Linked DNA regions of Drosophila melanogaster. The protein of the gene in region 1 purifies or fractionates together with the protein of each later gene. This does not show direct contact. Each region holds a gene or a part of one and is shown in the gene's direction. Other genes may lie near its edges.

Region 1 (7,236 bases):
AGCAACAATCCTGGCAACAGACAACGAGGAATGGTGGTAAGTGGGATACGGAAACACGCAAAGAAAAAATATCACCCGAGGCTATAAAATATAATTTGGCATCTAAATGAAGGTTAAGAATGACATAACCAGGTGATCAGTCAAATTAGAAGTTCATTTTTGCAAGATCACTTGGTACATGTATTAAAAATATATTTACATATATGCTCAAATCGCAGATAAACATTATTGTATAAGTATATATATTTTTCAATATATCCTTTTCAGCGGAATCAAACGTCCACATGCTTTTCAAACTGAATCTCCATATTATGATTCATGACATGTAAAATGATACGAAATTGATATGTGAATGTTATTATCTAATTTATCTAGATATAAAAGTTCAGATTTTAGTAATGGCTGTGTGTAATGATCTAATGGCGGAATGTAGCTCATGATAATTAACCACTCATGTTTAGGCTGTAACATATGCTTGATATACTCCATAATGTGACTTGCAGAATAGCAATGACAGAGAACTTAGCACGTTTTGTTTCCAGTGCACAACTACGTACGTATGTTTATTTTTAGCAACGAAAGTCAAGTTGCTGCGGGCCAAAAGGGAAGCACATATAGAGATATAGTTAGATATATGGATAGATAGGGAGGACGACGAGCAGGAGTTACCGACTGTTATGCTGCCATGTTCATGTTGAACTGATGACGTGGATTGGACCGAGTCCAAGGGAAATGCGAGGATAAAGGACAGAGGGACGATGAGCGGAGGGCTCCAGCCAACGCGTCGCCAGGCGAATGGAGACAGTCTGACTGGCCAACGGCTGGCGCTAATGGAGAGGGCCTGGGGTCCAGGTCCTAATCCATATCCCGATTCCAAGCCCATACCCATATCCAAATCTAGATACACATCCAGTTGGGGTAGTCCAAATCCAATACAGGAAATTGCAGCGACGAAAACAAAAGACAATAAAAAATGGAACAAAGGAGGAAAACAAAGTTTTGACGATATCCTCGCCGCAGTGGGTGTGCGCCCAAATTAATTAATAATAATGTGCTTGCCGGGGGGTGGAATGTGGGTGGGTGGCTGGCACCGGCTTGGTGAAAGTGGGTGGCTCGGGAGACCTTGCACACAGACATACAGATAAGCACGCGCTGGAATTCCAGCAGCTGTTTGGCCATTTGAATTTCCGCCTTATTGGCCGTGTTTGAGTTTTGCCTACAGTTTCGTAGAGTATATATATCATGTATAATATGTGCTTGGTTTTCATCAAGGTCCTTGTTGCACGCAATACGATTATTTATTAATCCTCGTGCAGCGCATCAAAGTGTATTTGCTTGTTTTCGCACAACACGATCTATTAATCAGCGAAATACGTGCCTTATGGCAAAATAACCGAAAAGTATTTCAATTTTTAAACAACATTTTCCAACTTTTTTTGTTTACCCAAAGAGCGAAAGAGAATTTTGTGTTCTCTTTCAATTTTCAAAGCGCCTATTGCGCTCTTTTCACCACTCGCTGTGGTGAGTTGCTCTCGCAATGTCAGCTGTTCGTTGACAGTCACATGACAGTTTTTCGATCGATAATTTTCCGCTGCTCACGGGTTTTTCATTTAAGCACAAAAACCAAAACACTTTTCGCACATTTTCCCGACTCCCCGCCCCCAGCCCACACGATCATCAGCTGGATATTTCCAGATACATCCGCAGACCTCGCGGCAATCTGCCGTCGAACGAAACGCAACAAACTGGCGAACTCTTTTTTTCAGGGTCACACTGCTTCGACAAAAAATCATAGCCACATTGCAAAAACTAATTTTCTCACTATCTTCAATAATCTACAAGAGATTTGCGCACTTTTCCTGGTCAGCAGACCTACTGCGATGTAGTAATCGGTCTTTTTTTTCGGCGGGGGGTAACTTTTGCACTTTTCACGGCGACGTGGAAAACCCGCCGAATTAACTATTTCTTACGGTTGGCACTTACTTTTCAGCGAATATGGTTGATTGTAAACGAAGCAGGTGTGCTTTTTGTGCTATTTGAAAACAGCAAGTGCGTTTTTCTTTGCCAAAAAATCAGCGCAAATCGACCGCCGCCACCCACAAATGCGAACGAAATTGTGTGGTGAGAAAAGCGCTGGCGAAAAAAGTGACAGTTCACAATGCCCACGAGATTCACGTGATGGCGCCAGTGTTGCTTAGCCAGCGAGCCAAACAGCTGACTCCGCCAGCAGCTGTTCCAGCGCCGCGCGCTCTCCAACACTGCCTGCGGCTAAGGTGCCGCAGTTTCATTGCTTAATTTTATTCCAGATTAGTTTAGTTTAAAACATATCGCCCGCCCTGGACCATTAATATTAGCAAGTAAGTTGATTGCGAGTGCGAGTACTGTTCGTGCTGCGCTGGATGAGGGCTGTGGGCGTGGCAGGTGGTCAGTTTGGGCGCTGATGTAACCAGAAGTCGGAGGAACATAATATGTGTGCAATTAGAATTGGTTATTGTAAATTGGGAAAAGCTGTTTCACAGTGTTTTTCCAGCCGTGTGTAATAGTGTAGATTTAAAAATTATCAACATCCAGTGATATGTGTCACCTCATAGATCAGTTTCATAATCCTGACCCCTAAACTATGCTTATCTCCCGGCTCTCAAATACACGTGTATTTCTATCGGGAACATCCCGACCTTTGACCTCCTCCTCCTCCTCCTCCTCCACCTCCGCACCCTCCTGCAGCCGAAAAAGAAAAGAATGACTCAAGAGCAATCAATTAGCCAAGTGCGCAGCAGTTCCAGGAAATGTTTATTCAAATATTTCCCAATTCCGAAGTGCTAAAAATAAGCCCACAAAACCACAACAGTGCCCCGTTCCCTTCCCTTCGATGACTCCTTTTCCGCATAAACAGCGCATCAATTTCCATTCTTAAATCCACGGGCTGCTTAGGAACACCGGGTGAGCTGTATTCCACGCAGGCACTCGAGGAATTAATGACTTAAATCACTTAAATTGCTTGAAATTAGAGTTTCATGACTTTGGATAATGATTCATACTCTTTTGCACAATAGGACAAAGTATTCTCTTATTTGTTAATTTTACTTACTTTAACTAAACTGTATTAATTAACTTAAGTACGACTCAAGTAATATCACAACTACTTAAAGTAGTCTTGTTATTATCTTACTTTAAGTGATTTCTGTAGAATATTTTATCAATTACCAATTGTGTTCAGGTGATTTGAAATCACGTTTCAAGATAGTGTTCAGAAAAGATGATAATCCAATTTAAGTTATACCAGTAGGAAAATTAGTAGAACTCAAATTATAAATAATTTTCTATTAATAATTCCTAAGGGCACGTCTTAAGTAATTAATCGGAGAAAAGCTATTGGAAGTCACTTCCCAGTTTTTGTCACTGAAATGGACAGAGTGTCACATCTTATTCGGTGGCATTTTTAAGGAAGCCGCTTTGTTTCGGCCTTATCAGCGATGGACAGCCTTTGATCTTTACCCCATCGCAAAAGGCCACGACTATCGATGTGCATATCTATATAGTCTGGCGGCTTCTTAGTCCCCGACGATTGTGTTTCGTGCTCGCTGGCCGTATCTAAGCGATAAATATTTCCCGTAATTATGCACGATCGCTATTTGTTCGCCGAGCGCTTTCAGCAATTGGCATTGACTTACAGCGCCTATTCTCGCCTCTGTGTTTGCTCGGTGGCTAGGTGGCTTCGTTGGCTAGGTGTCTGCTTCTCCACTGCCAATTCCGTCGTCATGGTCATATTCATATGCCAGTGCAGCGCCTCCAGTGCCGTCAGTCCGCGGAGAGATCCGATCGAGTGAGCTTCGCGCTACCCAGCCTTTTTTCACAAATCCACAAAGTTCCGGGCCGAAAAGTGAAAATCTATAGTCAATAGGCCAGTAGTCGCAGGTGCTAAACGTAACGGTAAATATGTCAACCGCTTTTCGGGTTTGGGCCACACTCGCACCTCTTATCGGTTATACAATATGGACGCGTGTGATTGAGGGAGAGTGGTGGTTGGTGCTTAGTGCTTGGTGGGCATGACCCACTTATGGGTGAAGACGCTCCCAGCCTGTCCCACAATGCTCCACCGAGCAAAATTCCATTCTATTTCGATAGGAAATCATAATATTTCGATCATCATTTTGATTTAATTATAATTTGCGCCTAACTGAAATTAAAATGTGTGAAAATGTAGAGAAGTTTCAGGGGAAGCGGTTTTGAAAAAAGAGTTATTGTGTTAAAGTAATCATTTTTGTAGCTTGTTCTCTGACAAAAAAAGTTTAAAAGAAATGATTATCTATTGTAAATAAATGTAATCATAAATTCTCTGCGTGTAGCCACAGCATCCACGCCCCTGTCCCTTTGGCTCTTTGGGCTTGTCTTGTTGGCTTACATTTATTGCGATGCGTGTGTTTTGGCTTACTTCACAGCGGTTTAGTGTTCTCTTTTGTGGAGCTCGCCTGAGCGGGGGAAACTTTCTCCGCTCCGGCGGCTCTCTCTCCCTCTCTCTCTCTCTCTCTACACGCTCAGTTTCTCAGCCAGGGAAATCAGTTGGCCCCCAAGACGGGGGCCTCTGGCTGGCAGACTTTGATGACTTCTTCAGCCGCAGCCAAAGTCACTGGCTTACACACGTCCAACGCAGCTCGAGCGTGCAACAGGTTGTCTCTGCCCTCGTCCAATTTGTAAGCATTATAAATACGCCGTGATTGCGCGGGGAGAAAGTTTCCCAATGCCAATTGGCAGTGGAATTCGGGCCACATCGAGAACTCTGCTTAAATTAAATTAAACAAGGCCTTAGCTCCCAACATCATGAAGCAATTTCGAAACGCAAATAGTGATTGTTATAGTTGTTAATAACAAAGATATTGAATTAAATATTTACTCTCATGCCAAAGCTCCCACTAAAAGTATACAAATTGTCTCTCTTACAGAGCTCAGGATTAAATAGATAACCGGATACAATCATGGCATCCCACTGGCCCGAGAACGTTGGCATACGCGCCATCGAGATTCTCTTCCCCTCCCAGTACGTGGACCAAACGGAGCTGGAGACCTTCGATGGTGCCTCCGCGGGCAAGTACACAATTGGCCTGGGCCAGGCCAAGATGGGCTTCTGCTCGGACCGCGAGGATGTCAACTCTCTCTGCCTGACGGTTGTGAGCCGCCTGCTGGAGCGGCAACATGTGAAGCACTCGGAGATCGGACGACTGGAGGTGGGCACCGAGACCATTGTGGACAAGTCGAAGTCGGTGAAGTCCGTGCTGATGCAGCTGTTCGCCGAGAGCGGGAACACGGACATCGAGGGCATCGACACCACGAACGCCTGTTACGGCGGCACGGCGGCGCTCTTCAATGCCGTCAATTGGGTGGAATCTTCTAGCTGGGACGGCCGCCTGGCTTTGGCCGTTTGTGCTGATATCGCCGTGTACGCCAAGGGTGCAGCGCGCCCAACTGGTGGTGCGGGTGCTGTGGCTATGCTGGTGGGTCCAAATGCGCCGCTTATCCTCGATCGTGGACTACGCGCAACGCACATGGAGCACGCCTACGACTTTTACAAGCCGGACCTCAGCTCCGAATACCCAACGGTAGATGGAAAGCTCTCTATTCAGTGCTACCTTTCTGCTCTGGACACCTGCTACAGGCTGTATCGCAAGAAGTTCGACCAGCAGCAGAAGGATACTTCCAAGCAGCCGGCCAGCCTGAGCACCTTCGATGCTATCCTATTCCACACACCGTTCTGCAAGTTGGTGCAAAAATCTGTGGGTCGCCTGAGCTTCAACGATTTCCTGCTGAGCAGTGAGGAGGAGCGAACGAAGCAGTTTCCCGACCTGGAACGTTTTAATACCGCTACCCTGGAGAGCACCTACTTTGATCGCGATGTGGAGAAGGCCTTCATGACGCAGTCCGCCAACATCTTTGCCAGCAAGACCAAGAAATCGCTGCTGCTGGCCAACCAAGTGGGCAATATGTACACACCCTCGGTGTACTCCGGTTTGGTGTCTCTGTTGATTAGCGGACCAGCCCAGGAGCTGGTGGGAAAGCGCATTGGTTTGTTCTCCTACGGATCCGGACTGGCTGCTTCCATGTACTCGATCAGCGTGACCCAGGATGCAGCTGCTTTCGAAAAGTTCGTCTCGCAGCTGGACTACGTGCAGCCGTTGCTGAATTCACGGGAGAAGGTTGCGCCCGAGCAGTTCTCCGCGCTGATGGAGGTGCGGGAGAAGAACAACCATGCGGCGCCCTACACGCCAACGGGCAGCATCTCCGCACTGTTTCCCGGCACCTACTACCTGAAGGACGTGGATGCGCTGCATAGACGCACCTACGAGCGCACACCGACCATCAGCAATGGGGTGCACTAACCCCGGGCTATGGTTCCTTCGGTTTGGTTTCGGTTTCGCCTACAACTTGACAATAACTCTAACTCTCTCGACCAAACCCATGTAAGCAGTAGCTGTAGATGGTATCTATTTATAACTGGTATGATCCCGAGGGGTCGCTATCCTTTTTGCTCTTATTCGGGTCCTTGTCGCGTATATAGTACTACACTTCTTATTTATACAAGCTTGCGAATTAACTCTTTCATCCAGTCAGACCTTATTTATATCATGGAACAAGTCTTAACTAGCGTCGGTACTGCAATCTATGCCTATAATTGTACAATACTTATACCTGTGTGTAATGCACACAATCAATTGTTTAATAAACAATAAAAATCAACAAAGTCAAACTCTTCAGTGATTACCTGGTATTTATTGTCGGAATTAACTTATTACACAGATCATCGATGCAACGTCAATGGACAATGTGGAAATAGTGTGTATATAAGAGCATATTCGATTTGATGGCAGCGGCTGATTTGCATATCTTGGGCTTACAACGCTGTAAACTTGTAGAAAGTTACGCCTGGGGGAGGGGAAAATGAAGTAAGTCAGGGCTAGTTAGTGTTTTGCAACGGATTTTACCATTGGGATTGACGCGTGTGATGAACTGACTCTCAGACTGGAAGACGCCCAACTTGCTGCTGGCATCGTACAGATCCTGCACATTATAACCCTTGGGATTCGTCAATCCGAGCTCCTTGACCGTGAAGGGGATCCTGTAGGGAGCGCCATCATCTCGGCGACTGACAAAGGCGACAGCATAGGAGTGATGTCCACTCTTGGTTACTGGCGTAATGGGACGCTTCCAGACTTCGATTTGGTTGCGGGACAAAACACGGCGCCC
Region 2 (3,654 bases), on another chromosome or scaffold:
GGAAGGCCTCTCACGTGACTTGGCTATCAAGCAATACCAAATATAGGCAATGACCGACTGAATAGAATGAAATGCCCAACACAAATTATATTGGTAACAATAAATAACATTTGGAGCTACTTGAAATCAGCAAATTCACATGTACAAGCCACTCCAAAAATAGCACCAAATATGTATGTGCCTAAATCACTGATATTAACATTTAGTTTGAAACCCCATTTCTTCCTTGCAACCCCCGATGCTTCTTTTTAGATGAATTCTTAATTATGAGTAAATATATCTTCATGAATACAATTGTTCAAATGCTCTTTGTGAGTACATTCCTTGGAATTCGTTATAAGTGCAACGTAAACAATATTTAAAGAATACCCGGTGGTCGGTCCTATTGGGCATTCTAAGCTGCAGAAGTGTAAAAAGGGTTGGTTTTATTGCTCACCTGGTGTTAATTGTTGCGGCAACAGGTAGTTCTTCTGGTGGAGTAGACTGGTGAACTGGACTGCCGATAAGAAGGAGGCCACGCGCAGAGTTTGAGTTTGGGCAATAGCAATATCGAAATGTAATAAACCAAATACCAGAAAGGCAATTACTCGTTCACTTTCGATTCGATCGGCCGATAAGGAATTTTACAGGGAAAACACGATGTCAACACGTTTAAACAAAGAACAAACGCACTTATTTTCTGTTTGCGCTTAACAAAAAAACAAAAACCCAAATACGAGGATATTTTTTTTTTCGTTTAGTATTTATATCTACTTTGATTCGTTGTTGTTTTTCACGTTTTATGTGTTTGTTTTTGTCCCGCTTGCTCTTTTTTGGGGCGCCTTTCTCGCTCTTGTCCGCTTTAACCGGTTTTTTGGTTTATGTTTATGCTGCTGCTTCTACTGCTGCTGTTGTTGCTGTTTTTGTTTCCCTTGCTCTTGCTTGGCTAAATGGAAAATATGCTGCAATTGCAGCCAGCAAATTGTCGAATGTTTCCAGCCACTTGCTTTGCTACTCGAAATCGATGCCAAAAACTTTAATAACACCCGCGATTGAGGTAAACAAAAGTGTAATAAGCGAAGTGAGGCACACACGCAGGCGCAGAAAAGCAAAAAGGTGAAGAAATATTGGCCGCCAAACAGGTGCAAATGATTCACGATTGTTTTTCCACAATCCACTGTTTATGTTACGATGCTATATCTCCTCAGTTTTCCGCACTGCGACTTGGGGATTTTCTTTGGCTTGGCGAGCGCTTTCCGCGCGGCGATTCGTTTAATTCGAGCGTCTTGTTTGCGATTGAACACCTGTTGCGCGTTCGATTTTCATAAAACTAACTGTGTGACCGTCGGGCGTTAGTTGAAATAAACCATAGCAAGCGTATCCAACCAGGTCTGGCAGCACTGCTGTAAATGTTTAGTTGTAGGCATTTTATAACACTGCACATGAGGCGATTGCACATAAAATATCGAGTTAAGTTTTTCTTCAAGTAGTTTGTTCTTCTGTCTGATGTTAAAAAATTGTTTTTACTTTCGTGCACAGCTCATCCAGCATATGAAATCTAGCTATAGTTTGTCAAACAACATTACTTTAGCAGCAATCGATAGGCGTGCACTTAGATTGAACATTCTATCGCTGCCGTTCCATCACTAATAGACAACATTGTGACGACATTGCTATTTTTGTGTGTTTTGAGTTTCACCACGGCGGAAAATAATGTCGGACCTTTCTTACCTGGACACGTTGGGCAACAAGGAGCTGCTGGCCAAGTGCCTGGAGCACGGCCTGCCCGGTGTTCCCGTGACGGACAGCACCCGCAGCGTCATAATTCGCCGACTAAAGGCCAAAATCACCGGGGTTCCGCTGAACAAAAGCAAATCTGCAAGTAAGAAAGCGATTCCGAGGCGTGAGACCGTACACGGCAGCCAGGTAACGACGCCCACATCGGAGCCAGTGCGTCGTACGCCCGGCAAGAGTGCAGGACGCACTAGCAGCAACAACAACAAGATCAGCGAACAAAGTCGTCGCACAATCGCCTATGGACTAGACAACACCTCGATCTCGGGAAGATCTGTGCAGACTACTACCACGGTGTCGGATATGAGCTCCCAGTCGGAGGACGACGACTCCTACATGGTGGACTCTCCGGTGCCTAATTACTCCAAGGACCAGCAGCCTAGACGTTATGTTTCTCTAGCCAAATCCGGAGTTTTGACCACATCTTACACACGCGAAGTTGACCAGCCGCTGTACGAACAGGAGGATATACCACGCAGCTACACCTACGAAAGACCCCATGTGCCAGCCGCCACTCTTCACGCACTTCCCACATACGAGCCACGCATCGAACCTTCGACATACAGACCCACAGATTTGGGTTTTTCGCGTCCCCTGCTGACTCAAACCAACTTAAACTCAACCAGCTACGAGGAGTCATCTACGTACAATCCAAAACTTTCACCCATTTCGCCAAGAAACACTTTCAGCGGATCCGCTAGGCCTTTTGGTGGCCCAGCACCAGCTCCAGCACCCATTCGCCAGCGACAGAGTGTTCCAGTTAGTGGATCCAATCTGGCCCGTGGTCGCCTGCTCCAGCCGACCACCGCAGTAAACACTCTATATCCACAACTAAATGAATTCTACGATCAGCCGAATGACGCAGGCGAACCCATGGAGACGGAGAGCGAGTCCGAAGTCGAGGAAGTACCCATCAATAGCCATTTCCAAAAGAATCGCTTCTCGCCGCTGGCTAGAAAACCTCTGGTAAGACACCACGATCAGGTTTCGCCTATGGCGCAGTTCCGTGCACTGGCGGTGTCATTGGATCAAAAATATAATCTCAAATTCTACTTAATATTGGTAGTGTCAGTGATGCTGGCCACCATGGTGTACGTGGTATTGACACCCAACGCCTGAGAAGCGTTCATATCGCGGAATACATTTGGTTTTGGTTACTCCACGCATTTCAACCACAGACTACAGCGAAGGAATATTTATGACGACTTTGCACCTTAAGACTACTACTTCAATTCCAAACATGTTCAAAACTAACAAATATTCAACTCAATTTGCCAAGTCTTTAATTGCTTGTTCTCGCATATTGTTTCTTTTTATACATAATTAGAAAAATGTACTACATTATAATTATTGTATTGTATTAAATAAACTAATTAAATGTAAGTGCTCAGTGTGTTTTGTTGCGATTTGTGTTTGTTTGTGGTACTCTCTGACAACGGACCATGGGTTTATTTATGCTTTATGCTACTATTTACACGCCATTTAAATGAACAAAACAGTGTAAAATCGTTAAAGGATATCGGGGATCGCGGCTAGGACATCACAAAGCAAATGGCTGCTGGCTGACTAATTGAAGTGGAACTTGAACTGGAACGGCGACCCGTGTTGGAAGTGTCCAAACGGATGTTCGCCATGGAAGCCGCCACGCTGATTGCTCTCAGGATCTAATGGATCCTCGCCGTTGTCGAATTGACGACGCTTCTCGGGATCCGTGAGAACCTCCTTGGCTGCGGCAATGTCAATAAACTTTTTCTCGGCCACCTTCTTTTCCTCGTCGCGGAAGTTGTCCGGATGCCACTTTTGCGCCGCCTTCCTGTAGGCCTTCACAATCTCCTGTTTGCTGGCGCTACGCTTAACGCCTAATATCTTATAGTAATCCCT
Region 3 (8,009 bases), 3.6 Mb from region 1:
AATATGTTTGCTTATGCAGTTTGTAAAGCAAACTGAACGGCAAACTATAACCGATTCCTCCCGCCAACCTAGGCATAAATTAAAACTTTGCAACATTCGCACGGAGCCAGTGTTTCGCTCGGCAAAAGCTAATTATGCATAAAGCTGCGGCCCTGGCAAGGGGTTTATTTACCTTTTGGTCTACTGCCATCCAAGAGGTTGATGTTGCCACAGCCCCGAGAATCAGTACTCCTGGGTCGGAGGTCATCGGCGGTCGTGGGTGGTGGTTCGCTGAGCGGTATTATGACAGCTGCCCAGCTGACTGACAGGCTGCGGTGAGAACTGCTGTCGGCGGCGGAAATTAAACGCCTCGATTTGCGTGCCCGTCACGCGTAAATCAGGTAACACAAGGCCCGACAAGGCTGCTGGCCATCAAATTCATTAGAACCGATACCTACATATGTACCTTGAAAAACCAAAAGTTTCTATGAACCCTGAACTAGTAGTCATACTGTTTCTACTTCCATATTTAGTAAGCTGGATAAATGGTTCTTCATAGGTATAAAGCTCATTAACTAAAAATTGTTTAATGGGTAACCTAATACTTTTCCTGAAAGTGATTAGTGTATAAATGACTTAAGTGCGATAAAAACCTGAATTTAATCTGGTCTTAACGAAGTATTCAACCGATTAAGCAGCAACGACCTAGTCGGCCAACAACTAATGATCAGGTCACTCATCAATCTGTGAAGTGTTGGCAGACCGCTCATCATCAACCCCACCAGCTTCTGGGATTAATCCCTAGCCCCGAAACCACCGAAATGGGCAGCCGCATTGGATGAGCCGTCCGCTGATTTATGTGACACACATTAGGACGACCGGCTAGTTCGTCCAGTGTAAATTGAAAGGGGCCCGGCAACGAAACTGCAACATATCGCCGCGTTTTATGATGCTTCGAAATTAACAATTTTAGCTGCCCGCAGCGGCAGCCGCATTCCATGTTAATGCACTTTATCGCCCCCGGCCAGGCGAAATTACTCAAAAAATGGCGCACAAATTGCAAACAGGGCGCGCATAAATTAATCGAAGCCTAGGCTAGCGAAATTAAAACATTAATCTGCGCACCCGACCAAGCAGCACAATAATTAATGCTGGCTAAAATTTATTAATTTATTTATAAAGCCAAAAAGGGCGGCTGAAAAGGCACTGAATAAGAGGTGCGAATCGTGGTCCGAATGCGAGTCCTACGGATCCTCGAAAGAAAACGAGAACGGGAATGGGAATGGGAATGATGGAAGTGCCCAAGTGCCGTCCGACAATAAAAACCAAAGACATCTTCAAATGGCCCGGGATGAAGTGGACAGCCATGAGGCAGCTTCCTTGGCTCTGCTGGACAGTGCGCAGTTTTTAAAAATGTCAGTACGCCCTCTAGGGACAGATTAGCGATTAATCTACGGGGCATGGTCACATGGACGCCCTTCGGACAACAGACTGCGGACTGCGGTCCTCCTCGTTGCTGGGAGGACGAGGTAACGATTAAAAAATCTCCACATAAAAGACTGAGCACTTAATCAAAGAGGATTTAGAGAAGAACTAAGGGGCGATTACAGAGGACGGACGGGGTAAAAAGCCAAGGCAACCAGAGCCAAAACCGTTGATGCGGCTCTTTGTTTCTAGCTGCTTCTTCTCACAACGCATACCCTGCAATCTCAGACTGGGCATTTCAGCAATCTAAGCTAATAAAGTAAAGAAGATGATATAATAGTGTACGATACAAAAAGTGTACGAGTATCCATATTATTAATCATATGGTGTGGCATACTTTTATAATTCTAATGAATGAAACACGTACTTTCATTACTTTCAAACACTTTGATGCATTTTCCCTTCACTCAGGTAGCTAATTGCAGTGAGACAGACAGGCAGATGCTCGATAAGTAAACAGGCAGGTTAAGGTGTGTTTCTGCTTCAAGGGTGGTTTGGCAATTTTTCCATTTATAAAGTAAGGTGAGTATATTGATTTTTCGCAGTTGGAAGCGAACACTTGGCAGGTGTGAAGTGCTGATCCAGAAAGGAGCTAGTCTTGGCACAGGTAAGTTTTCCGCTTGAAATTTCTCTACCTTGTTATTAGAAGTCTTAAAATTCACTAAATATTTATCTATTTCGTTTCTGAGATAATCATTGGAGAGCATCTCCCAGTCGCCATGCTCTCGCATTAATCGCCTTACTTGGATTTTAACTACATATTACAAGCACTTTTATTTCGCTAAGCGTTGCTCATAGTTTTCGGTGCGCTTTTTCATTGCCATGCAGCATCCAGCTCCACCTCCAACTCCACCTCGATCCCCTCGTGAAAGACCTTAAATAGTGGCAAAGACATCTCACAGACTTGGCGCGCTGCATTTGTCAATTTACTACGAGCTGAAAGGGGCGTGGCCGCGCATAAAAATGATATATGTGAGCGCTGAGTTAGCAATTTTCGTATGAATTGGCAGAGTTGCAGTTGCTGCTGATTCTGCTGCTGCCGTTCGCTTTATGAATTTCTTTATGGCCAACCTATAAAATATTTTGATTGCACCATGGTGTGTTCGGATGAGGGGGCAGTTTGAAATTAAATGCCTGCCGCTTGATTTGCTCGCTGGACCTCAAGTGGATTCCTCGCAATCCTCGTCCACTCGACCACTGTCCACTTCAGTTCAGTTCAGCTCGGACCTGGCCTGTTCGGACCTAGCCCGTTCGGCAATTATGGAAGAAAAACCGCAAAGCGCTCCAAAGCCGGCCCAAAACATTTGTTGGCCTTGCCAAGTGCTTCTCTGTGCAGCGCCAGAAATTTGGCATTTCCCCTGTAATCCTTTTGTGTGCTAATTGGAGCGTTGCCGGGCCATATATATATCCCCTGGAAAATATCTGGCCCAAACAGTCCGCTTGCCGGCCCATTCGGGGCACTGAAATCGGCTTAGAACACTTGTCAGCCCACCAAATGTAAATATTAAACGGGGCCATTTAAATGGATTTAGTTTCGCAAATACACAGTATATCGGCTGGGCCTTGAAATTTTAGTTTCAGATTTAAATAAATAAATAAATAATATTAATAAAGGGTATAGTAAATATTTGGTGGAATTCTCAACTTCAAAATAGCATGTGACTCATACAAAATATACAACACATCGTTAATATATACTATATTAATACATTACTGAACTGGTAGCTCTTAACATCAATACATCTTTTAAAAATTAGTCACGTGTAATTAAAATGTGTCTTTTTAGGATAATTTATTACCTTAACATATTAATAAGTTGATTTGCACAAATCAAAAGTTTGTATCTACAGGAAACGTTTAGGAACTAAAAATATTACTAAAATTATACTCAATTATCGTCTTGCCAAATAAGTCAACAATGCGACTCGCTTTATTGATATTTGGACTTTCAATATCATGGGTAAACCAAACATTTTGGAGTTTGATAAACGCGTGCTAAACTGATGAACACTGCGTGATTATGTTTGGATTTCATTGTGATCAGCTATCGGATTCACGGCGAGACATCTCTATTAATTTATACAAAACATCATCTATTTTGGAATACAGGAGCTATAAGGTAGGCTAAGCTGAATGTGTGCTCAACTGATTATATGATTAACATTTGCCCAAAGGCTTTCTGCAGGTAAACAATATATACGTGTTATCTCGCACAAGTTGGCCAGAAGTTCAGGGCATTTGGCATTATTTGTCATATTCGCGACGCTTGTCGAACGCCTCTTATCATCTGGGATTAAAGTACACACGACTTTATCGCCATCTCAGTTGCTTTTCTCATCCGGCGAGACAAGATGAGATTTTTCTGCCATTGATAGTAGAGCGTCGAAGCCCACCAGACGTAGTTCAAAAAGTGCGAGATTGCGAACAGAGTATTATCAATCAACTTGCTGAGTTATATAACTCGGGCGGTAGACAAGCCCCCGAAAAGTTCCGATTACTTAATATAAATAGAATTGGTTTCGACCTACTTATAACTGTTTTTGTTTTGATTGCCATTTAAATCGGCTCTTTAGGTAAGTGCTTTTTGCCTCACATATATAAATGAGGTAAAATATGTTAATCGCAATTGAAATGAGCAGGACAACATTCAAATGCCATGAATGCAGACAATGGCATTGCTTTAAACATTGGGCATTTGTTTAGTTCCCAAGTGAGCGCTTTGTGTCTTGCCAGATTTAGCATGTGGCGATCGTATTATAACGCTGCGTTTTGTCATTCATTGGCCAGCCAATTTGCATATATAATTTATTTGCAATTGTTGTGACATTTTGCCAGCCACTGACGATTGCGCCAAATGCCTTCGCCAGACAGGTTGTCGTTGCCGTGGGAACTTGTGGCGGAATCTCCGACCAGAAATCTCAGACCTTCGTCTCTCTCTCCGGTTCAACTTTCACTGAGGCAGTGCTTCCTTAATTAAGCCATCTTAATGGGTAACTGGGGCTCGTTCGGTTATCTGCGGGCAGACAATGGCTTAATCTGCCAGCTAGATCCCAGCATCATCGGGCCGGGTCCCCGGGCGCACCTTCCTTCAATTAACCAGGCAGCCAACTTCATTTACCTACTTAAAGAGTAAAAGTTTAGCGTCTTAGCCCCAGTCTCTTGGCCTTTTGGGCTGACAAACTGCAGCGGCGCATGGAGGCCGTACTCCTATTTCTATTTTCAAATGCCATTTTGGCGGTGGATCCAAGCGGCCAAGTGCTAATGCCCCCAGCCCCGCCGATTGCTATGTCTTTGAGCTCCAACTTGTCACGCTGCCACAGACTGGAGCTCTCTCTCCGCGAAAACCGGTTCTCTGGTGGCCGGTCGCAAACGAAATCTCCATCTGCCCGGGTTCCATATTTCACGCCAGTCTGCACTGAGCCGCACCGGTCGATATGTCCAATTTGCTCTGAGGCCGGCAAATATTTGAGAAAGTCCACCCACTAAGAAACCAGTCGGCTTGGTAGGCCACTGCACTGAAAAAAACAAATTTAGAATATTTTACAAACACTCAAAATATACACTTTTTTTTTGACTGACAGCCAAAAATCATTAGTTTTCAGCAACATGGCCGATCGACCGCAGGATCCAAAGGCTCCAAAGCCACTGAAACCCGTCACCAAGACAGGTGATCCGATAATTTCGCAGATCGGCGACTTCCGGCGCTACCAGTTATTCTTTTTCTTCATCGTTCTACTGTGCAAATTTGGCACGGGATGGCACACCCTCGGCCACATATTCCTCGCAGCACCAACGCCGTTATCCTGCAAGACAGAGAACGTCACGGATCCCTGCAGTGACGAATGCTCCGAGACCGAGTTCGACACTAGCGTCTTCCAATCCACCATCATAACCGAGTGGAATCTCACCTGCGAAAGCAAACAGCTGGCTAGCTTGTCCCAAAGTATCGTCATGCTGGGCATTTTGTTCGGGAGTATTCTGTTTGGCATGTTCGCTGATCGGTGAGTATCTCAAGATTATTAATAAGTTTTCTTATGCTAAAAGAAACCTGAAAGCAAGTCGGTAAAATAGAGCCTTTGCTGGCTTACTAGTTAAACCACTAGATTAACTGGTGGACCATTAGCGAACACCTATTTATTAGTTTTAAAACAATTTTTCTGTTTTTGAGTTAGTCCGCCTACTATAGAATTTTTCAATTCCCAGGTATGGACGACGCCCTGCCTTCCTGACGTGCTGCTTCATGCAGCTGATCACTGGCCTCATCGTCTGCGTATCCCCCTACTACTGGTTCTATTGCCTCTTTAGGTTCCTGGTGGCTGTGGCCACGGCGGGAACGATGACCACCAGGTGGGTGTAAAGGCACTACCAAGGATATTCCCAGTAATATAAATGACTAATCCCATCCGCAGTTTCGTCTTGCTGATGGAAATCGTGGGACCCAAAAAGCGCGAAATGGTAGCCATTCTCTACCAAATCCCCTTTAACATCGGCCACGCCTCCCTGGCCCTGTTTGCCTACTTTATTCGAGAATGGCGCTGGTTCCAGTTCAGCATCACCATTTTCTCTATCGTGTTCGTGATCTACATTTGGCTGGTTCCCGAGTCGCCACGCTGGCTCTTTACCACCGGCAAGCTGGACAAGTCCATAAAGATTCTGGAGAAGATCGCCAAGTGTAATAAGGCTCCGACGGAAACGATTCGGCCGGAGATCGAAGCTGCCTATGGGGCACTGGCAGCCCGCCAGCCGGTCAAAAAAGGCACCGTCGTGGATCTATTCCGGACACCCTATATGCGGATAAAGACCATATTCATGGCAAACAATTGGCTAGTGGTTTGCATGGTCTACTACGGCACCGCTCAGTATGTCTCCGCGCTGGGCGGCAACATCTTCATCAGCAATGCAATCGCCGCCGGAGTGGGCATTCCAGGCACATGCCTCTGTGCGCTCATGACCAAGTACCTCGGACGCAAGAAGACCCTGCTTCTTTCCAATGGATGCAGTGCTTTGGGCTTAATCCTATTGGCATGCCTTTCTACTCAGGCAGAGGCTGTGCGTGTGACCTGCGCCACAATTGGACTTTTTGGCGCATCAATCACCTTTCCGAATGTCTACTTGTACGGCGGAGAGCTCTTTCCCACGGTTGTGCGTTCCAGTGGGGTTGGTCTCTGCTCGATGGTCGGTCGAATAGGTTCCATTGTTGCTCCGCTCATCGTCGATCTGGCTGCATACGGTCTGTGGGTGGCGCCCCTGATCTTTGGAATTTTCTCCATTCTGGCAATGCTCGGCACAATTTTCTTGCCGGAGACACGTGGAACTCCACTGCCGGAAACCCTGGAGGACGGAGAGACATTCGGGCGTAAAAAGAAGGACCAGGCATAGGGCTTTTCTCCCAGTGTTGCATCGGTGTAGCAAGGCGAGAATTTAAAATTTTCGAGCCCAGCAAAACTCCTAATGCCTGGGCTCTAAAATTATTAAATTTCGACTTAAGTTGAGATTTATACGATGCGATATGTCAGTCACCGAAAAGCTAAACTGCCGTTCGTGCCGCAAACAAAAGGCGAAAAGCAAAAAAAAATTGAAAAATCTAGCGAATGCAAAAGGTAATTACCGCGGAGTAACTTCCACTTCGTGATTATTAAAACTGGGTTAGCAGTCTGAATCCAGTCTCAATCGTAGCTGTTCTCCAACTGCCTTAATGTCGAGGTGCAAAGCAGCCAAATAGCTAACTGGAAAACCAGCCAAGTGACTGTGAATGCAAACTTCGCATGTGAACCCAATCGATAGCAGCTAAGACCAATGAAATTATATAGTAGAATTCAAGTAGAAGTGGAAACTGTTTCTCCGGATCGAAGTGCATCTCATAAAGTTTCTGTGGGCAAACACGAGGCTTTCAATCTGAGATATTTGTATCAGCTGTCGCTATAAGTCCCGAGAAATCTGTACCATCAAGGTCGTATGAAACATTTATTCGGTTGTTACGTTAATAGTTTAAGAGCCATGCAATGTAATTTTGAATCGAATAAATTGCATTTTAGCATTTCATTTAATAAAACAACTCTGCAGAATCGATTACACACATCAACGCGAATGACATTCACCGCGTTTCCATTAGGTCGACTCCAGTCGATGCCCATGGCAATTATCGGCAACCATCTCATCACACCATCTCCGCATCCACATCCTCTGGCATCGCGATGGGATGAGATGACCTTGGCCAGGCAAAAACCGGCTGGGGCACCACTCAAGGTTAATATTCATTGTCAACATTGGGTACGCCTCATTTGTATGCGGCTCTTGGCTCGGATCCTCGCTCCTCATTCAACATCCCTTTTCCACGAAGAAAAAATAGGTGAAAATGTACTTGGTTATATTAGAAAAAAAAAAAATAGTTGATTATAAAAAGTTAAATGCTAGTCAAATTTGAACATTAAAGAAATCATTGATGTAGGATAATTTGACTTTATTTAAAATGATTTTATTTTAAAAACTTGAAGAGTTGATGTTTCGAACACCTATTTTGATTTCTTTAATATTTTCTGTACGAA
Region 4 (4,554 bases), 1.2 Mb from region 1:
TGTTTATTCTGCGCACTTATGCCACGTTTGCAATGTGAAGCTAATTTGCATATGCTCAGACATCTGTAATATAATAACATATGTACATACATATGCGGGATTCATTTTGTGGGTAAGCAAGGGAAGTTTTGATTAAAATTGGCCCAAGGCCTGCATATCGCCCACTTTACGAGTATTCGTGGCTTGCACTTCAACTAGACTATGCGCACTTCAGCTTGATTGTTATGGTACTATCTCTAAGATAAAAGGTGGTATACACAAAACTTTATTGCCATCCCAATTATACACTTTAATTCTAGAATTTATAATTTATTCATAAATTCCATACTTTTTAAATTCAAAAGTTCTAAAGCATTGCAAATTAAGTGGGAGATTTTGGGATACAATAACTAAGCAATACAGGGAACTACAAAGGAATCGCAGACACAATAAAAGCTAAACCAATTCATTTGTCTCACGCACACCATCGCAGCGTCTTCACTCATACATAAGCCAAAGAGCCAACTCCCAAATATTAATGCCAAGACAAAAAGGAAGCCAGATGACAGCTGAGCTGTACGAGATGCAAAAGCTAGTTGCTTTTATGAATTGCTATATATACTCAAGGGAGCGGCCGGTGCTCATTGATATTTTTATGGGCCAGGTTTTCTGCTTGAATATATATTCTTTTTATTTGCATTCATTTTGGCTGGGCTTTCTTCATTCAGCTGTTTGTGCCTGGTTACACGCAATGTGTATGTATGTGTGTGTGTGTGTGAGAGAGTCCTTTGGCCTGCGCTGGTGTGAGTGTGGCCATTCCTTTCTCGATGATGATGCCATTGCCTTGGCTGCCTTTGCCGCTCTTTGGATTCTGGTTGTGTTGCCACCACAACGGTTTCTGCGGCGCCTCTAAGCCACATTCCTAGCATGGCTGTGTGCGTGCGTATCTGTGAGTCGGATTCGGCAGTCGGTTTGTTTATTTGCGAAAAAGTTTGCAGCCAGCGCTGGCTAACAACAACAGAGGCAGCTGCTGCCGTTGCCGCCTGGATAGAGCCACTCTCTTCTCGGGTCTCTTTTTTAGTCCCTTGCTAAACAGTAGTATACATGAAGGAAAAATTATTTAGAATAAATATTTAGACAAAAAAGTCATTTATTTGCCACTTAATACATCGTTGTAATATTGTTCATTTATAAGAAGCTTATTGAAATTGAATTAATTCATTGATTTGTAGATCCCAACATAAACTTAAATATCATATCCTGATTTTGTGATTATTGCCAAAAAAAATCAGAGGAAAAGTGGCTTTTGTTTAACCATTTATTTTTATTTTATTTAATTTCTTTGAAATTTTGAGACAATTAAGTTCTACACATACATGTATAAACCATATATTTTTGCCCACTGTGAGTCCTGCGAGAGAGCGGGAGAGAGAATTCTCTCGCTTCCTATTCCTATCTCTCCTCGAGGTCCTGGCTCTCTGTTTCCCTGGGCTTTGTGTGTCGTTGCCTGCCGGCTGGCGCGTCGCTGCTTGTTGAGCTCGAAACTCCAGCTCCTGCAGGATGTGGGGATATCGGGCATTCGGGGTCCGTGGCATCCGCAGTGAGGACGCGTCGCCGGCGCCGTTCAGTGTCAAAGTCAGTTGTGCCTGAGCTTGTGCCAGAGACAGTCAGTTTCGCTGCGAGTCTGCCATCCAGCTGGTTTCCGCTTCCGGTTCCGTGCGAGTTCTTTGGCTAGTAAATTGTGGTTGTGCACCTTTTTCTAATGACTTTTGTAAACACCAAAGTTTTTTGAACAAAAAAAATTACCGAGGCACAACGTATTTTTGTAAACATTTAATGCGAAAAAGGTTTCAGCTCGCGAAAGTCAAAGTGCAAATTGGCCCAGAAACAACAAGTATCGTTTATAAACTAGTTTCCAGTTCGGATGTGTGTGTGTGTACTATAGTGTGTGTGTGTGCAATTGATTAAACAACACAAGGGTAACCTAGGCCAACTGGAAGCGTAGAGACTCCATCAAAAGCCGCGGACTAAATTGCCAAATCCTCGATCCAATAAGATGGGCTGCAACACCAGCCAGGAGCTAAAGACGAAGGATGGCGCAGCCATGGATGCGGTCAGCAACGGCGAACCGGAGCCCAGTGCTCCTCCCTTGGAGGGCGAGTCATCCAAGTCATCCGCTAGCAATCATACGAATCACGCCAAATCCAGTTCAATTATCTCCAACGGCGAGGCGAAGGCGGCCAACGGGGGCGGCGCAGTTGGCGGGGGGAGTGGCAAGTCGGAAGCAACAAATGGCATTGATCGTCCCTGCGACAAGGCGGCAATCACGGAGTTCAATGACGACGAGGACGAAGGTAAGGCCCGTTCAATCTCCGATATCCAATACATTCATATTAACGACTGTTCAACATTCGGTGTGCGTGCGTGTGTGTGGGTGCACTTGGAGAAAATGTTCATCACATCAAAGTGTGGTGATTTTCCTTACTTTCTGAATTAAGAAAAATCTTTACAGCTATAGTAAAAAACCGAAATTGTACAAATATTTAAAGAAGCGAAGAATAGACACTAAATTTTTTTTAGTTTATAGGACTTTTTTTCGGTGTCCTGTGTGTGTGCGGATGAATGAAAATCCTGTGTCCAGGGGTTCGAGTATTATTTACTGTATCAACACGCTGGGAGCACGGCGTTATCGCATTTGCCTTTTTTCTTTGCCACTTTTCCATTTTCCCCCAGTTTTCCGGGCTCCCCGCGGCCCGCTGCTTAATGGTGTCGCAAATATGAATTGTTTAAGTGTATACACATATATGTATATATAAATTTATATATAAAGGGATGTTTGCATTTGGATGTATACACTGCACTCCATTACACGCCACTACATCCGCAAGCGCTTTTATGCGCCCGATGGCAAATTTGTGTTAGGTCCTTAACTTTGTTAAGTAGCCGCCTCGTTGTCCCACAGTCGCCTTGGGCATTTTTTTTCCCCAATGCGCATTAACGTAGGTTATGCTCCTGTTTATGGTATCTAATAAGCGTAGTCAGAAGTCACTTTTATGGCCAGCGATATGGGCCGCAGGATAACACAAATTCCATAGCTTGCTTTTGGGGGCACAATTTAGTTTACGACATATGATTCGCAGTAAAGTGATAATAACGTTTACTTTGCTTGAAAGCAAAAAACCTTTAACGACATATCAAAAATTGTCTACTTTTCTATAATATTTGCTTACAATACAAAAATGTATAATTAATTCTATTTATAAATGTACACGTAAAGTTATGGCCTCATTTGTTATTCTTCTATTGTACGAAATTAAATTTTAGTTGGAAAAATAACTCGAATTATTTAAAACTTCTGCCATAATTCACTGGAAATTTTATATACTTGCCTCCTGAAAATACATACATATCCAATTATTTTCAATTTACTTAGTTATTCATTTAAATTTTCACCACAATAACTTTTTACTCAGCCCAAATTTGGATGCAAAGTTCGGGGCTAATACCATTTGCAAACCCCAAAAAAAGGAGGAACTTTGTGCGGTTTATTTGCTCCTTTTTGATATAATGAAAATATGAAAAACCATCGAGGTGCACAGCGTTTCCAGAGACTGACTCATAAATTACCACAGCCAGCTTTCCCTTGTGGCAGGTGCAGCAGTAGTAGTGGCAGAAACTGTTTGTTTTGCCGCCGTTTTCCGCACGTTTTCCCGCTCCCCTCCCAATTTTCATTTCCCAGTTTCCCAAAGGGAGTGCTGATAAATTGTATAGCGACACTTTATCAATGGCTGACTGCACGGGAAAAGTTAGCCAGAAAATTTCGCTCCCTGTTAATGCCACAAATTATTATTATTGCTTAGCAATTTTCCCGCTGCCAACAGCTTTTAATTTGCTGGTTTATGTGTGCTGCTCACTTGGTTTTCCTCGTAACATTTGCCTTGAAATTAACTCAGCTAATTGGGGCTTCTTGGAATCGCTGAAATATTCTGGATAATCCTTGAAAGTTTGTGCGTAGCAAGAAAATTAAATCAGTTCTTATATTCACGGTAAGGCTATTCAATATTCAATTTCATTTGGGCTGTAGTGGTTCATAAATATTCGCCAGCTGCCTTTTCTTTTTTACTTGCCATAAAGTTCCTTACTATAAAGTTTAGGCCGCTCCTCGAACTTTTTTGATTTTCCTCTGCAGCAGCGTAAAAGAAAAGCGTAATAAAACATACAAATAAACTAACGAAAAGAAGTGAAAACCCAAATCAACCATAAAACTGCCGCTCGGTTACGCCATTTATGCCGCCACCCAAAATATTTTGTTAAACAAACACGTAGGCTGTATTTCAAATTGATTCCGCTTGCGAGTGAAACGAAATTAAAAACGTAAATCCGTAAATGCTTAAGTAGAAACTGGGTAAATTTTCTGCGGTCTGTCAAATAATTAAGATATGGCGATGACGAGGTCAATTTCGTTTTATATTTCACTTCCCTTTTCCCCGTTTGGACACGCCCAAAGCGAAATTACCTGCGAATTGCGAATGGGCCAGGAAGGACATAAATTGGCAATAAAGATGTCAACTCATG

What was found.
Region 2: the proteins of Hmgs (region 1) and bocks purify together in Drosophila melanogaster (affinity purification with mass spectrometry, with the first as the bait; one large-scale study listed by BioGRID). This does not show direct contact.
Region 3: the proteins of Hmgs (region 1) and CG8654 purify together in Drosophila melanogaster (affinity purification with mass spectrometry, with the first as the bait; one large-scale study listed by BioGRID). This does not show direct contact.
Region 4: the proteins of Hmgs (region 1) and igl purify together in Drosophila melanogaster (affinity purification with mass spectrometry, with the first as the bait; one large-scale study listed by BioGRID). This does not show direct contact.

What each region holds. Positions count from the first base shown.
Region 1 is NT_033778.4:16,334,507-16,341,742, forward strand, and holds Hmgs (HMG coenzyme A synthase), read left to right. Parts: upstream 1-1,583; 5' UTR 1,584-2,357; intron 2,358-3,795; exon of another isoform or gene 3,796-3,930; intron 3,931-4,608; exon of another isoform or gene 4,609-4,691; intron 4,692-4,933; exon of another isoform or gene 4,934-4,940; 5' UTR 4,941-4,973; coding exon 4,974-6,371; 3' UTR 6,372-6,736; downstream 6,737-7,236. Other genes in the region: CG7997 (uncharacterized protein), read right to left, coding at 6,884-6,915, 6,975-7,236.
Region 2 is NT_033777.3:9,588,968-9,592,621, reverse strand, and holds bocks (bocksbeutel), read left to right. Parts: upstream 1-1,619; 5' UTR 1,620-1,692; coding exon 1,693-2,892; 3' UTR 2,893-3,154; downstream 3,155-3,654. Other genes in the region: P58IPK, read right to left, coding at 3,340-3,654. UniProt on the Drosophila melanogaster protein: Inner nuclear membrane protein. May have a role in maintaining the structural integrity of the nuclear lamina. During pupal development, plays essential and redundant functions with the other LEM domain proteins; MAN1 and Ote.
Region 3 is NT_033778.4:19,977,239-19,985,247, forward strand, and holds CG8654 (uncharacterized protein), read left to right. Parts: upstream 1-2,003; 5' UTR 2,004-2,071; intron 2,072-3,301; exon of another isoform or gene 3,302-3,583; intron 3,584-3,638; exon of another isoform or gene 3,639-4,037; intron 4,038-4,871; exon of another isoform or gene 4,872-4,966; intron 4,967-5,059; 5' UTR 5,060-5,070; coding exon 5,071-5,465; intron 5,466-5,667; coding exon 5,668-5,811; intron 5,812-5,873; coding exon 5,874-6,843; 3' UTR 6,844-7,657; downstream 7,658-8,009.
Region 4 is NT_033778.4:15,153,883-15,158,436, forward strand, and holds the start of igl (igloo), read left to right. Parts: upstream 1-1,554; 5' UTR 1,555-2,035; coding exon 2,036-2,333; intron 2,334-4,554.